Linked DNA regions of Sus scrofa. The protein of the gene in region 4 purifies or fractionates together with the protein of the main gene of each other region. This does not show direct contact. Links are inferred from orthologs where the notes say so. Each region holds a gene or a part of one and is shown on either strand. Other genes may lie near its edges.

Region 1 (3,761 bases), on a different chromosome or scaffold from region 4:
TGGAACTGGCAGGAGTACAATCTCAGCCCAGCCCCTGGAGAGAGCGGGTCTCAAAAGGAGAGGAAGGGCTCCAAGGTGGGAGCCCCACAAGGGTAAGAGCCCTGAACACGAGAGGGGCAAGAATCTTACTCTGTCGTGTCTCAGAGGAGACGGTGGACCAGGCACTTAATCCCTCTGGACCTCGGTTTCCTCATCTGAAAAGGAGGGATAACAGGATGCAAGTCAGAGAAGGCAGGCTGGACTGGAGTCAGGGCAATGAGAAAGAGAGAACGCCAAGGTTGTGGCCAGACCCTACGGGAGGTGGGAGTGGAGGCCTGGATCCCACAGGTGCTCACCCAGGAGGTGGGGTCAAGGAGCAGGCCTCAGGCTCCCAGCAAGTGTGCAGGAATTGCACTGCCTAGAGCCCCTCTCCCTCTGTGCTGTGGGAATGCTAAACAAAAGGGCTCTGAGGTCATAATCTGTAAAAAGGGAAAGGAGGGGCCTTGGCCCAAGCCAAAGCCCAGACTAGATTCAAGGCCGCTGCATCTCAGGTTCCCTGTCCCCAGCTCAAGGCAAAGTGGATACAATGGGGAGTTTTGACAATAACCTCCCTCCTGACCCCCTTTCAACACTAGGCCTCAGGGTTTCTGGTCTGGGTCTCCCCTACTAGGGGGTCCGGGGGACATCGCCCAAACGTCCACATGCTGCTGCCTCTGAGCTCCGCTTCCTCCGTCTGTGCCCTGCAACTCCAGGTGGCTGACAGTAACGGTCACCCACCAGGCCCTGGACTAAAACCTTCACTCGCATTAAGCTGCCGAATCCTCACACCAACTCAGGGACGGAAGCATTGTCATCATCATCACCCCCATTTTCCCGGTGGCGAAACTGAGGCACAAAGACTCTCACTTGTACAAGTTCATCCAGTGAGTGGCAGGACCAGGATGTGAACTCACACAGTCTGGACTCTCAGGCCCACACTCCTCACCATGTTGCTTCTTAAGCCATTATTTCACAGACACCCTGTGGTCCATCTCCCTGCTCTGCCAGTCCCTGCTGTGTGGCCCCGAGCAGCGCGACCACTCCCTCGGCTTTGTCCTCTTGCACAAAAAGCCAGGACTGTCCACAGGCTGCGGCCCAGCGCTTTAGCGCCGAAATCTGCCAGTGTTAGGCAGCGGGCACTGCACCAGCATCGGGGCTACAGTCATTTGTTTTCTCAAACAGGAGAAGGTTCCAGATGTGGGCAGGGCCTCCCTCGCCCCGCCCCGCGCCCCGGTATGCAGTTGGGGGAATGCAGGGGGAGGGGCTGCCCCCAGCCAGTCATTGCCATTAATAGAGACCTGAAACACCGCCTGCTAAAAATACCCGGCTGGCCCATTATAAAAGCGCTGCGGGCTCGGCCCACCGACACTAACTCCCCTTCTCCCAGCCGCAGCCGGACGCGTCCAGCCAGCGCAGCCAGCATGACTGAGCGCCGTGTGCCTTTCTCGCTCCTGCGGAGCCCCAGCTGGGACCCTTTCCGCGACTGGTACCCGGCCCACAGCCGCCTCTTCGACCAGGCCTTCGGGCTGCCCCGGCTGCCCGAGGAGTGGTCGCAGTGGCTGAGCCACAGCGGCTGGCCGGGCTACGTGCGCCCGCTGCCCCCGCCCGCCATCGAGGGCCCCGCCGCAGTGGCCGCGCCCGCCTACAGCCGCCTGCTCAGCAGGCAGCTCAGCAGCGGCGTCTCGGAGATCCAGCAGACTGCCGACCGCTGGCGCGTCTCCCTGGACGTCAACCACTTCGCCCCCGAGGAGCTGACGGTCAAGACCAAGGACGGCGTGGTGGAGATCACGGGTGAGCCCCCGGGGACCGGGACGCGCCCACCCCCCGCCCCTCCCGCGCTGCCTCTCGCGCTCTTTCCGGGGAGGAGCCCTGGAAAATGGAAACTTAGCCGAGGACGGGGCCAGAGCCCGGGGAGCCGGCCTGGCCTCTTCGCCCTGCCCCTGGCCTGTGCCTGCTTCCCTGGACTTTGGGGGGGGTGCTCCTAAGTCCTAAGGGATCTTTTGGCCCTAAAAGCTCTCCAGTCAGGGAAGAAACGCCCCCTTCCAGCGGAGACGCCCTCAGCCCCAACGCCATCCGCGAGGGACCAGGTCTCCCCGCGCCGCGCCGCCCCCCCCCGGCCCCCGGCCCCCGGCCTGCAGTTGGTGTGGCAAGGGCGACCCCCTCCCCCGACACGCGCACGCACACGCACGCACTTCCTCCCCATCCCTAGTCCAGGTCCTCGGAGGGGGCGTGTGTGCGTGCCCATGGCTGCTGCCCCACGCCCCAGCCCCAGACTCCTGGAACCGAACTTTCCAGAAGCTTCTGAGGTCCCGGGACAGGTCTGGGGTACCCACATCCCTTAGTCCTCTCCTGGCAAGCGTTCTGGCCACCGGGTGGGGCTCGGCTGGCTGTGGGCCAGCGGGAGCGCCGGCCCCTTCAGGCCTCCTCTGACCTCCCTCCCCCACCCAGGCAAGCACGAGGAGCGGCAGGATGAGCACGGCTTCATTTCCCGGTGTTTCACTCGAAAATACACGTGAGTCCTGGCTCCGGGTGGGGTGGGGGGTGGGGAGGGCCCAGGGACGCACCGTGGGTCACTCCTGTCCTGCCTCTCCCTGTCCAGGCTGCCCCCCGGTGTGGACCCCACCCAGGTCTCCTCCTCCCTGTCCCCTGAGGGCACGCTCAGCGTGGAGGCCCCGCTGCCCAAGCCAGCCACCCAGTCGGCAGAGATCACCATCCCTGTCACTTTCGAGGCGCGGGCCCAGCTTGGGGGCACAGAAGCTGGAAAGTCGGAAAAGCCCGGAACCAAGTAAAGGCCTTCGCCCTGCTGCTCACCGCCCCCCGCCCAAACCCGCACCAGCCATCCCCACCTGCCAACTCTCTGTGCTCTTTTGATACGTCTACCTTCTGTTTTTCTCGAATAAAGTTCAAAGCAACTGCCCGCCACTGTCTCAGACCCTGGTGTGCTTGTGGAGGCTCAGGCGTCACTCCTGGTTCACGCACTCATCACGTTTGCCGAGGGCCTCCTGTGTGCCAAGCCCTGTGCTGGCCCCTGTGCGTGCTGCGTCCATCACAGGGCACAGCCCTGCCCTCCAGTCCCTTGTTGAGGGAGAGACTGTTTATGCGGCAGTTAAAGCCCCCGGGGCCAGTGTGGGAGCAGGGACGCCAGGAGAGGCACCCGGCCGAGGCACTCAGGACACCTGGGCAGGGGGCGAGGGAGGGGGACGTCCCGGCAGCTCAGGGTTCCTTCCTGACCGCATCATAACCTCCTCATCTCCACGGAGAAGAGCAGGACCGCAAAGACGGGATGGGAGGGGTGGCCACCCATCTGAGGCGGTGGCCTCCGTTCCCCCAGGCCTGTGCAGGCAGGATGGGGCCTTGACTGGCCTGGCAGGAACAGTCACACCCACCTTGGCCCTTGCTTTTGTCTGTCCTTGTCCTACCCACCACCCACTCGCTGGCCCGGGGAGGGAGAAAGCAGACGGGGGCTTTGGAGTCCAGGCTTAAGTCCCCAAGATCTTGAGAGACCCCCACTATTTCTACCAAGGTCCCAGAGCCTGAGGCTGTGGCCATTTTCCTGCTTTGCCAGGGTCCCTGAGAGGGGAAGGGCCTGGGGCATCCACACACACCTGCCACCCCCACCCTGCCCCGATTCTCCAGTTCTCCTCCCTGGTGCAGACTCCCTGTGGGGACACGACAGTCTGGAGCAGGTGCAAGGCCAAAGCAGGTCCCAGCCCTTGAAGGCCCCGCCGAACCTGGAGGGAGGC
Region 2 (4,796 bases), on a different chromosome or scaffold from region 4:
CATACAGTTCAAACTCTTGCTTTGCAGATGTCAAAACTAGAGCCGACTGGTCCAATGTTAAATACCTCCCAGGAGGCAGAGCTGGAACCAGAAGCATGGCCTCTGTGTCTTGGGCCAGAGCACTTTTCATGGTACCAGATGGTGTTCCAAGAAAATTAAAAATGTGGAATTTCAGTCCCCACTCCTGACCGGGGGTCAAGGCTCACAATAGGATGGGCACAGCTGAGTTTGGGATAGATACGGATCTCCCTCCATGATTTTCAAATAGGCAGGTAGAGGTGGGTCGTGTACCACTTGGAGGTATGTCAGGATACCCATGGGGCTGGGGAGGGGCAGGAGGTGACATTCATGGTTCTTCAACTCTTTAGGTCCTTAATTTTGGAGGGAAAACTACTTTTACTATTTCCAGAGTACAACCTGCAAAACGAAACAATCTTTTGATAGTTCAAAATGAAAAGAAAAAAGTGATGACTCTTTTTAAACCTTTTTTGACATGGACATTTTTATGCTACACACACAACGTGGTACAGGTTTAGAAAAAGAACAAAGTAAGCCAAAATCGGATACATTCCTTTTTAAATGTAATCTGAAGGGAGTAATAGAAATGTCTTTGAAGGCTGAAGCAAAATGTAACCTACTTGAGTGAAAAATCAATAAGCTATCTTTCAGGAAAATTGTACTCAACAATTGTCTAATGGTCTTTTAAAGGAAGTAAATAAACAAATGGAAATGAGGAGTTTAGGAGACAGCCGCCTTATTTTTTTTAATCCTAACAATCTAGTTCTGTGTGAGACTTTTTTTTTTTTTTGCCCCACTGCCATTTCTTCCTCTTCCTTTGCTATCAGAACCCTGATTTGATTCTGGGATCCTGGGGCCACCTGTGAAAGGCAGACCAGATCCTGAAGCCAAGGCAAGCATCATGATAGGTAATCATGGTAATCTCAATTCCTTCACCAGGGCCTGATTTGGTCCTTGAGACTTAAGGGGAGATTTACATAGGAGGAGGGCCTTGGTCTAAAAATAGACTGCCCCACATTCAAAATAAATTCAAGGAAGGAATTATTCTTTGTTTTTTTTGGATGTTGTGAGTCTGCATGTGATGCCCAGGGCTACTACAGCCATCTTGCCACCATGAGGCAAGACATCAGGCAGGACTAATATTGAGGATAGTAGAATGAAAGATGGAAAACATCTGGGCTGATGACATTTTCAAATAACAATAGCCCTGCAATTCTCTCTATTTTAATGAGATAATACCTTTCCTACTGTTGAAAGCCTTTTAAGCCATGCTTGTTACTCATAGATAAAAGCATCTCAATGGCCACAACTTCAGAGCCTAATAAGGAAATGCATTGCCATGTTTAAAAATGTTCTGATAAACTGACTTAAAATAAGTAGTCAGTTCTGGGATTCATTGAAGATATTATCAGTGATGTAACTAAGGAAACATTTTCTCTTTTGGAACCAAATTGAAGCAGTGAAGAAAATAAACCATTAACTAGGAACTGCCAAACAACAGTCCCTAGGCCAAATCCCACTTGCAGACTGTTATCGTAAATCCTGTAAGACAAAACCAATCTGTACTTTTTTTTTTTGTTCTTCCTAGGGCTGCGCTCGCAGCATATGGAGGTTCCCAGGCTAGGGGTTGAATCAGAGCTACAGCTGCTGGTTTACACCACAGCCACAGCAATGTCAGATCTGTGCCGTGTCTGAGACCTACACCACAGCTCATGGCAACGCCGAATCCTTAACCCACAGAGCAAGGCCAGGGATCCTCATGGATCCTAGTCAGGTTTGTTAACTGCCAAGTCACAACGGGAACTCCTATATTTTTTAATAGTTGAAAAAAAACATCAAATGAATAAGAATATTTCATGACACATGAAAAGTATATGAATTAGAATTTTGGTCTCTAGAAAGGAAGTTGTTAGAGCATAGCCATGCCCATTTGCCTGTGGCGGCTACATGAGAGCTGAGTAATTACAGTAGAGAATATATGATCTTCAAATGATCTTCAAAGCCTAAAATATTTACTCTCCGCTCCTTAAAGAAAAGTTTTGCTGACCATTGCTACAGACCAATGGACTTACCTCAAATTGCATGGTAGAATTACTCAAGGAACTTTCAGAAATACTGATACCAGGACCCATCTAGACCAATTAAATAGAAATAGAGCCAGTGAATCTATTACAAAGGCAAGGCTGAAAGCCATTTCTCTACGTAATGTGAGTGCATACAATACAAGTGAGCTTCAACCTGGACAGATTTAATAGGTTTAGAGAAAACGAAATAAATCTAGCTTCGAACCATCATTTATAACCCCAAATTCTCTGCCATCAGCCTAAGTTTCACCTGTCACCAATTCAATTCACAAAGCACAAAGCGGTGTTTGCAACCAGAATGTTAGAAACAACAGTGTAAACAGTACATCCTTGTTTAAATGTTGACCCAACTGGCACACATGGGTGGTACTGGTTGTTAGCACTCCAAGACAGAGTGGGAGTGGAATTGAAGAAAAACAAACAGAGGAAAGAACTAGACTGTTAACAGCTAAAAAGTATTTGGGGAAACAATTATAGCCCAAAAGGATTAACGGAAGGGAATAATATAGCAACAATGACCAGAATGTAGACGTTTTCACTAAATTCTACACTGGATCAGAAAATATCACTCAGGTATCATTTTATAAAAAGGAAAAGGGGTGCAGTTCCTGGTCTGGCCTGGAAGGAGCTTGAAAGTCATTCCTCCATTCTAAAAACAAGAAAAAGCCGAACAAACTGAAAAATCACCCACTCTTAAATCCATGAGAGAACGAAGGTCTCAGGGCAAATCTCGGGCCCTCACATTAGAGAGACAGGGAGACACAGAAAATCACAACTTACCAGAGCGGAAACCCACAAGCAGAAACCTCCTCAGGAACCAGTGCCGCAGTCAGGAAAGCTGAACTGTATTTGACAGGTGGCTGGAGCCGCAGAGTAGACAAATCGGAGAATTAAATATTCCAGAGGAATCCACACTTTGTGAGCTTTGCCTCTAGGAGCCCTACTAGACTCTCACAGTGGAGATCTGAGAGGAAAATCTTCTTGTGTTTCCTGAAGAAGGAGCCGAAGAGGAACCACCTTGAAATGTGCCAGAGCACTCACTTCTTAACAAGGTCCGCCTGCAGGAGAAGCTATTTTCTAGGGCCTAACCTGCTGGGATTTTATCTGTGCCTAACTGACCTAGGGGAAGGGAAATGCCCAGCCCCAGCTGGCTCTATTCTTACACTGGGGAAGCGAAATACGCAACTCCTGCTCCTCTAGGCATCTTGTTCCAATTAAGGGGGGGGAGTGGGGCAAAAAAAAAAAAAAACCCACAACAACAGAGAAGCACGTGTGACGTTCACAGCCCAGCAGCACAGGCTCATCAAAAGACTGACACCTAATCATAAAACTATAAAACATTTTCCCTTCCCCCACACCTAACCACCACATCATTAAAGGCCTATTTACTGCAGTTCCTTTTACTCAGTACAAGTCCATCTTTCAAGAAAAACTTGTAAGGCATACTAAAAGGCAAAAGACAGACACCATTTGAAGAGCCAGAGCAATGTTCAATCCCTGGCCCAGGAACATCCACATGCTGTAGGTGTGACCAAATGCATGCATATATAAATAAAGACATACGTAAATTAAAAATAAAGGCATGGAGAAAGATATGCCATGCTAACACCAGTCAAAAAAATTCAGGAGTAACTCTACTAATTTTAGACAGAGCAGACTTCAGAGCAATAAAAGTTATCAGAGATATAGAGGAGCATTACATAATAATAAAGTGGAATAGATTCAGATATGGCAAGAATGTTGTTAGAATTATTACACCAGGAATGTAAAATAAATATGATGAATATGCAAAGGGCTAATGGAAAAAATAGACAACATGCAAGAACAGATGGGCAATGTCTGCAGAGAGATGGAAATTCTTAGAAAGTACCAAAAAGAAATGCTGGAACCAAAACACTGTAACAGAAATAAAAAAATGCATTTGATGGGCTAATCAGTAGGCTGGACACAGCTGAGGAAAGAATTTCTGAGCTTAAGGAAATGTTAATAGAAACTTCCAAAACAGAGATGCAAAGAGGGAAAAAAAAAATGGAAAAAAAACCCAAAAGATAATATCTAAGAACTGTGAGACAACTATAAAAAAGTGTTACATATGTATAATGGGAATACCAGGAAGAGAAAGTAATAGGAGAAATATTTGAAGCAATAAGGACAGCAATTTTCTTTAAATTAATGTAAAATGCTAATGTCAGAGACATCAATCATGAATAGTTCCAAAAAACACTACACCTAGGCATATCATATTCAAACTACAGAAGATCAAAAATAAAGAAAAATCTCGAAAGAAGCCAGAGGAGAGGAAAAAAGCCTTACTTATAGTAGAGCAAAGATGAAAATTACATGCAACTTCTCAGAAACCATGGAAGTGGAGCAGAGTGAAATTTAAAGTGTTCAGAAGGGGAAAAAAAATCAACCTGAATTCTGTACCCTACAAAATTATTCTTCAAAAGTGAAAGATAAATTTAGACTTTCTCATACAAACAAAAACTGAGAGAATTTGTTTCCAAAAGACATACCTTGAAAGAAATGTTCAAAGAGATTCTTCAGAGAGAAGGAAAATGATACAGGTCAGAAACCTGAATAAGAAACGAAGAGGGGAGTTCCCGTTGTGGCTCAGTGGTTAACGAATCCGACTGGGAACCATGAGGTTGCGGGTTCGGTCCCTGCCCTTGCTCAGTGGGTTGACGATCCGGC
Region 3 (4,605 bases), on a different chromosome or scaffold from region 4:
GGAGTTCCCATCATGGCTCAGCAGTTAACAAATCCCACTAGCATCCATGAGGATTTGGGTTTGATCCCTGGCCTTGCTCAGTGGGTTAAGGATCCGGCATTACTGTAAGTTGTGGTGTAGGTCGCAGACGTGGCTCGGAGCGGAGGTGCTGTGGCTCTGGCATAGGCTGGCGGCTACAGCTCCAATTAGACCCCTAGCCTGGGAACCTCCATATGCTGCGGGTGTGCCCCCCCCCCCAAAAAAAGAACTTTGGTGCATTATCAGCTGCTGAGTGAGCTGAAGTGATCGCATTAGTCCCAGTCTCACCTAATAGCAGAGAGGATGTCCCTTTGGGAATGAGGCCCTGGCTGATACATTTTGATGAGTGCCTTTGGGTGGAAGAAAGCATGAGGAACAAGAACCCTTGGGCACGGGGTAGGTAACATTACCAACACTGCCTACTGGTGAATCTGCTACTCACAAAGGCAAGGCCCAAGCTGGGAAGAGCATGGGGGCTTTTAGGTGTAGTACATACTTTGGAGTTAGACCTAGGTTCAAGTTCAGCTTTATCCAGTCCTTACCAACTGACCTCCAGCAAATCTCTTCACTTAATCACTCAAGAGGGGAATGAGCCTTCAAAAAATTATTGATCTCAACAATGGGCTAGGGTCAGGGCCAGGTAATAATACCTTCTCTCCCTCAAGGCTGTTTTGAGCATTTCCAGTGAGTGAGGCAATCTGTCAGAAGAAAGCACTTTACCTTGTTTACAAATGACCTGTTATAGAGCATCCCAACCACAGATCTGCTGGCTTCTTCCACAGCTGGAAGCCCTTGACATTCATTCTGCCCAATGCCTCTTCCCAGATGGATCCTTAAGATAATTAGAGGAAGATGTGACTATGGAGAATGGGAGAGATAACAGTGTAGAAAAACTCAGCCTGATGTGGCTGGTTTTGAAGATGGAGGAAGAGGACATAGCCAAGAAATTCAGGAAGCTTCCAGAAGTTGGAAAGGGCAAGGGAATGGATTCTTCCCTTGAGCCTCCAGAAAGAAATGCATCCTGCCAATACCTGGATTTTAGCTCAGTGAGACAAGTGAGGGACTCTAAACTAAAAAAAAGCAAGATAACAATGTGTGTTTTTGTTTTTTAAAAACAGAGCTTTGGTAATTTGTTACAGGAGCATTAGGAAACTAATACACACAGTAAATTATCATTCATTTGTATCACTGCCATTAAGCTTTTTGTGATGGTTTTATATTTTTCTCATATATTAGTCTATGAAGTCTAGGTTAAGTTATAAGTTTGTCTTATCATTGGTTGGCAAGCTCTAGGAAGGTTAGCACGCAGTAGGCACTCAATAAATACTGTGACTGACAATTCATACGAGTTTAATTAATATGAAAAGTAAAATGTCCATTACTTTCACGATGTCCTCCAGGACCTAACATAGTGCCTGGCACAGCAGGAACTCAATAAAAATCCTTATGGAATCTTATTGAACCTAGATGGAAAAAGTACCTTCTGCACCAACTCCATTCCCTGTGATCTACGCCGTCGTCCCTGTCCATTCCGTCCAGCCCAGATCCCTACTTCTGCAAGTGCCCTCACTATGGGACCTGGTGACCTTCCTCTTGAGTAGCCGGACATCTCCTGCCTAGCTTTCTTCTGCAGAGGCAATGAACACCGAGCGCCGGTCCCGGACGCCTTGCAGCTCGCAGGGCGCAGTGCTCATTTGGAGCTGCAGGGGGCAAGCGTGACCCGGGAACTCCCGCCAGAGGGTCGGGACGGGGCGGAGCTTCAGGGGCGGGTCGTCTCAGTGCGCAGGCGCGGGGCCAGGCGCCTCGCGCGGCCAGGGGCAGGCGGGCGCAGAGCAGTCCCGGCCGCGGCTTTGGTAGCAGCGAGTTCGAGCCCCGCTCCCGCTCCGCTTTGGTTTTCGCTCCCCCGGCCCTTGGGCCTCCCGACGCCAGTCCCCGGCAGCTCACTGCTCATAGCGCTCTCCCCGCCGCCAAGATGCCGGTAACCGAGAAGGATCTGGCGGAGGACGCGCCTTGGAAGAAGATCCAGCAGAACACGTTCACGCGTTGGTGCAACGAGCACCTCAAGTGCGTGAACAAACGCATCGGAAACCTGCAGACCGACTTGAGCGACGGGCTTCGGCTCATCGCGCTGCTGGAGGTGCTTAGCCAGAAGCACATGTACCGCAAGTACCACCAGCGGCCCACCTTCCGCCAGATGCAGCTTGAGAACGTGTCCGTGGCGCTCGAGTTCCTGGACCGTGAGAACATCAAGCTCGTGTCCATCGGTGAGTGCCCTGGCCGAGCCGTGCGCCGGCGTGTACTTCTCGCGCCCCCGCGCGTGCGCCCCTGAGGAGACTGAGGCTCCCTGTCGCGCGCCTCCGCCGCGTCCAGCAGCCACCGGCTGGATGTGGGCACAGAGGCCGGGGTGGGTGGGGGTGAGGACAAAGGGGACCTAGGCACCCTCCTGCATGCCGTTCCCTGGGGTGCTGTCTTACAGTGATAGTTCCTTGCCTTGCGCCGGGGCCGTGCGCCTTTGGCGGGCGATGGGTTGAGGGTTCATGTTGGGGCCGCTTGGGGGGAGTGCGGGCTGTGGCACTTGGGGTGCCCCTGCGGAAGCTGGGGGACTGGAAACCTCTGGTCGGCAGTCCCCGGGGGTGGGGCCCTAGTCAGACGCTCCCTGGAGCGCTCGCCCAGCTGCGCCCAGGCCGATGCGCTGGGCGGTCGCCTGATGGGCGTTGGCTCGGAGGCCAGGTGCGGAGGCCTTGGGGAGGGAGTGTGCTCCGAAACTGGGGCCCTGCCGCCTAGGTGGAGACGGGGGCCTGGGACCCTCCCTCGCCGTCTCCGGAAGGGGAGCCCGGGGGTGTGGCATTCGCGCTCGCTCTGGCCCCGCGCTGCGAGCTGAGCCAGCTCTCGCCTCTGAAGATACTATTGAGAGTCGGCGGCGGTAGCGGCCGCTTGTAGGGAGCTAGTGCGCGCTGTGTGCCAACAGCCTCCTGTTAACTCGGTCCTTACACACCCCGTGAGTTGGGGCGTGTAAGACAAGAGGGTCCAGAGGGTTAACGGGCTTGCCCAGGGCTATGGAAGTAGAGAGGGTCTAGCCGAGAATTGAAGGAAGCGGGTGACAATTAAAGGAGACTTGGCCTTCCTCTCCCCGCCCTCCCCACACCAGGGTCTTCCTGAGAGGAGGGAGGGAGTTGGCGTTGGGTTCCTCTCCCCCCAAGGCTGGGGAGGAGTGATGAGGGTGAGGTCCCCGCTAGGACCAGGGCTAGTGGAGGGCTTCCCGCAGGGTCATAAGGCTGCTGAGGGTGTGGGTTGTAAGGGTAGGAGTCAGGGGTGTGTAGTGTGCGTTTGTGAGTATATGTGCAGTCTGTGCACAGCGTGGTGTGCACATACATTGTATGCATGTTCTGCCAGGTGAGCCTCTTGCCATTGAGCAGCTGGCCCAGGCCTGGGTCTAGGGTCCCTTCTTGAGGAGGCCAGGCCTTCTATTAACCCCCTGACAGGAAGGAGGGGCATTGGGTGTGACTGCTGGGACTTTCCAGCCTAAAAGGGGTTCCCTCTGGGCTGAGTCTCCTCATCCTCTCCCCACCCTCCCCCACACCTGTCCTGGCAGGTGGGGCTGCTTCCTGGGCCCAGGCAGCAGCCACCGCCCCGTCAGCCTCCCTCTGGAGGGTGGCTTCCCTGCACAAGGAAGCTGTGTGGCATGCTCTCTTCTTTTGGGGGCCCATCTTCTGTAATGAGGGAAGGGGGAACCTCAGATTTCTCCTGGAATTCTTTCCTTTTCAGAAACCAGCTTTCCCACTGAGGAATCTCCAGGGCTACAGGGCTCAACTTGGATCCCTTGTTCTTTGCCTGAAAAATGTGTATTTATTTAATTAACTGAACAAAGAAACTTAAAGTAAACCAGGAGTATCCAAACATGCATGGCAAGAAATCTTAAAAACCAAAACAAACATCAGACCACAGCACCAGAAAATCCTGGACTGCCCACTTTACCAACTGTTGACAGAGTCTGCAGCTGCCTCCCGCATGGCTTCCCTTTGGTGCCCTGAAATTGAGGGTCTCATTCTAGAGTTTGTCTGGTCCCTTACATGTTTCTACTTGATCCTTGTGATTTTCATTCCTGAACCCACCCAGGCCATAGCTTCTTCCCTTTTCCTGACATTCCAGGGTTAGCCTCCCCTTCCCCAGTTGTGGCCTGTGGATTGTTGGCAGCTTCTTGCTATGGACCTCTTCCCACCACAATTTATATTGTTTTATTTTATTTTCTCCTTTTATTTCTTTATTTTTTTTTTGTCTTTTGGACTGCACCTGCGGCATATGGAGGTTTCCAGGCTAGGGGTTTAATCAGAGCCATTGCTGCCAGCCTACGCCAGAGCCACAGAAACGCCAGATTATTAACCCACTGAGCGAGACCAGGGATCGAACCCTCAATCTCATGGTTCCTAGTCAGATTCATTTCTGCTGTGCCATGATGGGAACTCCTATTTTCTCCTTTTAAATGATTTCTTGGATCCTATTCCCCAGAGTGGCATTTCTGGGTCAAAGGGTGTGACCATTTATGACTCCTATCATTGGCTGCCTAGTTGTTCTCCAGAAAGATCTTCC
Region 4 (3,312 bases):
AACATTTCACCATCCCAAAGGAGACCTGTGTCCTTCGCTGCCACTCTTCCCCCCTCCCCCAGCCCCTGGCTACCACCGGACAACTTTGAGTCTCCATGGACTGGCCGCGTGTGGCCATTCCACAGAGTCACACAATATGTGACCTTCTGTGTCTATCTTCTTTCACTGAGCACCATATTTTCAAGGTTCCCTCACAGTGTAGCCTGTGGCAGTGCTTCACTCGTTTTTATGGCTGAAGAGTGTTCCACCCTAAGGATGGGCCATACTTTGTTTTTGTTTTTTTGGTTTTTTTTTTTTTTTGTCTTTTTGCCATTTCTCTGGCCGCTCTCGCGGCACATGGAGGTTCCCAGGCTAGTCGACCGGCCTAGGCCAGAGCCACAGCAACACAGGATCCGAGCCACGTTTGCAACCTACACCACAGCTCACAGCAACGCTGGATCGTTAACCCACTGAGCAAGGGCAGGGACCGAACCCGCAACCTCATGGTTCCTAGTCGGATTCGTTAACCACTGCACCACGACGGGAACTCCAGGATGGGCCATACTTTGGTGAGGCCTCCACCTGCTGATGGATTTGGTTCCTCCCCCCACCCCATTTCTATGACTCCTCTACTGTGAACGGAGTTGCTGTTAACATTTCTGTGCAAGCATTTGTTTGAACACCTGTCTTCGGGTCTCTAGGGCCTGTGCCCAGAAATGCAATTGCTGAATCACATGAAAATTCTGTTTAACATTTTGAGGATTGACTAGACTGTTTTCCACAGTGGCTGCACCACTTCTCATTCCCATCAGCAATGTATGAGGATTCCAATGTCTCCACACCTTCACCAGCACTTGTTACTGTTCTCTTTTTAATCGTTGTTATTATTATTGTCATGCTAGTGGGTGTGACATGGTATCTCGCTGTGGTTTTGATGTGCATTTCCTTGATGGCCAGTGATGTTGAGCATCTTTTCATGTGGTTGTTGGCCATTTACGTATTTTCTATTTTAAACTGTCTGTGAAGTCTTTTGCCCAACTTTTAAATGAGTTGTTTATCTTTTTGTTGTTGAGTTGTAAACGTTCCTTATGTATTATGGATACTAGGCCCTTAACTGACACATGACTTGCAAATATTTTCTCCCATTTTGTAGATAGTTTTTTTACCTTGCCAATAGTATTCGTGAGTTCATTTTCATGGAAAATAAAAGACACATCTCTTTCATTTAAAAAATCTGAATAAAAAACCTGAATAAATATTGTCATAAACCAATGGTTGTTATCTCTGGCTTGGTTGGACTGTCACTATGTTTTGCTATTTCTGAATTAACCCCGGCAATGATTTCCAAGGTTCCTAATTTTGCAAACTGGTAAATGGAAAGTGAAAGTTGCCAATTGTTAGCTCTCGGTATTATGATGCTATTTGTGCATCGTGAAAAGGATGTGAGGCACTGGGCGTGCCGGGGGTTTCTGAACACGTACCTCTGGAGGCGGGGATGCTGTCGTGTGCCTGGCTGGCAGCTGGAGAGACTCTGTACCCCCTTCCTCAATGTCCTGTCATTGCTATTTGTTTTTTCCTGCCATGCACTCCGGAGCCTGCCTTGGGAAAAGGAAACCGAAACTGAAGCCGATTTCGATTTCGGCTCCCGCGGTGGTTGGCTCCTGGACTCCGCCCTCTGACGCGGCTGCTCAGGCTTTTTAAAGGGCTGAGCCGCCACGGCTGAAGAGCAGCGGCGAGCTGAGCGGCAGCGACGCAGAGCGCACAGAGGCAGCGAAGCAGAGCTCACAGAGGACCTGTCGCCAAAGCCCACGGCCATGGTGAGGGGGGTTTGACAGGTGGGGCAGGTGGCCTCTCCCAGGGGCAGAACACCTATGTGTACCAGGCAGACAGAGCTGCTCAGGGCCCGCCAGGTTCCTAAGCATGAGGGGAGGGATGGGGCTCCTCCTGACGTCAGGGTCTGTGTCCTCAGAGGGCTGAGATCCCTTGGGGTCGGCACAGGGAGGCATCTTAGCTGGTGAAGGGAGGTGACATGATGGTTGTGGGTGGTGGCCATTCTAGAAATGCCCCCTTGCCCTCTCCAGTGCCCGGGGTCCCCCTCCTGGAGGGTGGGGAGGGTAGGGAGGAGGGAGCAGCACTCCTGGGCTCTAGGAGCTTTTGCCCCACTATGTGGTGGCCCTGGGACTGGTGACAGGGTCTCTGAGCCTGTGTGACGCCCACAGGGTAGGGAACTGAAGGTGAAGATGCTGGGAGGCAAGGAGATCCTGGTGCCCTTGAGGGACTGCATGATGGCATCGGACCTGAAGCAGCAGATCGCCCGGGAGATCGGTGTGCCCGCCTTCCAGCAGCGTCTGGCTCACCCAGCCGGCAATGTGCTTCAGGATGGGGTGCCCCTGGTCAACCAGGGCCTGGGCCCAGGCAGCACAGTCCTGTTGATGGTGCAAAGCTTCAGAGACCCACTGAGCATCCTGGTGAGGAACGACAAGGGTCGCAGCAACGCCTATGAGGTCTGGCTGACGCAGACAGTGGCTGAGCTCAAGCAGCAGGTGTGTCAGCAGGAGGGCGTGCAAGCTGACCAGTTCTGGCTGACTTTCGAGGGGAAGCCCATGGAGGATGAGCACCAGCTGGGGGAGTATGACCTCAAGCCTATGTGCACCGTGTATATGAATCTGCGCCTGCGGGGGGGCGGGACAGGGCCAGGGGAGCACCTCACCGAGTGCTAGTAATAAAGCTGTGGCAAAATTGAGTGTAACAAAGCGTCCATTCTTCTCTGGCCAGCACCATCTCGGTGTCAGTCCTCCATTCTGCACCCATTTTGGTGAGACAGGAGGTGAGATGGAGGAGGGAGTGGGATGAGGGGACCCAGAGGTTGCTGGGTGGTCACCAGACTAGAGTTGCCAAGTTAAGGGACAAGCCTTGTGGGATCAAAATGGTGCCCCACACACACCAGAGAAATCGAAGATGTGTCCCCACATCTTTGGGAAATTACCTTCTAGAGAAATAAAAAGAGGCACAGCCGCTAGAGCCCATCCTTGTCTTCCTGCTGTGCCGTGGTCAGCTCTGCAGCCCCACATCTGGGTCAGCAGATAGCACAGGGAGGAGAAGGCCTGGCCAGGTGAGTGCCCCTGGAAGCAGTGGGGGCATGAGCCCCTGTGGCCTGTCTGGGTGAGCTGTGAGGGAAGCCAGCCTCCCCCGTGAGCCCCACAGGAGCCAGGCTGAGTCAGCCCTGGACATGGGGGAGGCAGGAGCACAGGACGTGGACCTCTCTGGGCATGGCTCTGAGGACCTCTGCTTTCGGGCTCTTCAGGGCATTTGGCTGAAGACCCAGAAGCCTCC

What was found. The genes of interacting proteins can lie anywhere in the genome.
Region 1: the proteins of ISG15 (region 4) and HSPB1 purify together in Homo sapiens (affinity purification with mass spectrometry; 3 studies listed by BioGRID, with this or other methods). This does not show direct contact. The link is inferred for Sus scrofa from reciprocal best matches to the Homo sapiens genes ISG15 and HSPB1.
Region 2: the proteins of ISG15 (region 4) and ubiquitin-conjugating enzyme E2 N-like purify together in Homo sapiens (affinity purification with western blotting; 3 studies listed by BioGRID, with this or other methods). This does not show direct contact. The link is inferred for Sus scrofa from reciprocal best matches to the Homo sapiens genes ISG15 and UBE2N.
Region 3: the proteins of ISG15 (region 4) and FLNB purify together in Homo sapiens (affinity purification with mass spectrometry; 3 studies listed by BioGRID and IntAct, with this or other methods). This does not show direct contact. The link is inferred for Sus scrofa from reciprocal best matches to the Homo sapiens genes ISG15 and FLNB.

What each region holds. Positions count from the first base shown.
Region 1 is NC_010445.4:10,037,120-10,040,880, reverse strand, and holds HSPB1 (heat shock protein beta-1), read left to right. Parts: upstream 1-1,439; coding exon 1,440-1,809; intron 1,810-2,466; coding exon 2,467-2,530; intron 2,531-2,617; coding exon 2,618-2,807; downstream 2,808-3,761. UniProt on the Homo sapiens protein: Small heat shock protein which functions as a molecular chaperone probably maintaining denatured proteins in a folding-competent state. Plays a role in stress resistance and actin organization.
Region 2 is NC_010443.5:26,024,266-26,029,061, reverse strand, and holds the start of ubiquitin-conjugating enzyme E2 N-like, read right to left. Parts: upstream 3,255-4,796; 5' UTR 2,883-3,254; intron 1-2,882. UniProt on the Homo sapiens protein: The UBE2V1-UBE2N and UBE2V2-UBE2N heterodimers catalyze the synthesis of non-canonical 'Lys-63'-linked polyubiquitin chains. This type of polyubiquitination does not lead to protein degradation by the proteasome.
Region 3 is NC_010455.5:39,787,908-39,792,512, forward strand, and holds the start of FLNB (filamin-B), read left to right. Parts: upstream 1-1,351; 5' UTR 1,352-1,990; coding exon 1,991-2,282; intron 2,283-4,605. UniProt on the Homo sapiens protein: Connects cell membrane constituents to the actin cytoskeleton. May promote orthogonal branching of actin filaments and links actin filaments to membrane glycoproteins. Anchors various transmembrane proteins to the actin cytoskeleton.
Region 4 is NC_010448.4:63,361,484-63,364,795, forward strand, and holds ISG15 (ubiquitin-like protein ISG15), read left to right. Parts: upstream 1-1,717; 5' UTR 1,718-1,793; coding exon 1,794-1,796; intron 1,797-2,198; coding exon 2,199-2,699; 3' UTR 2,700-2,728; downstream 2,729-3,312. Other genes in the region: uncharacterized protein LOC110261384, read right to left, coding at 3,280-3,312.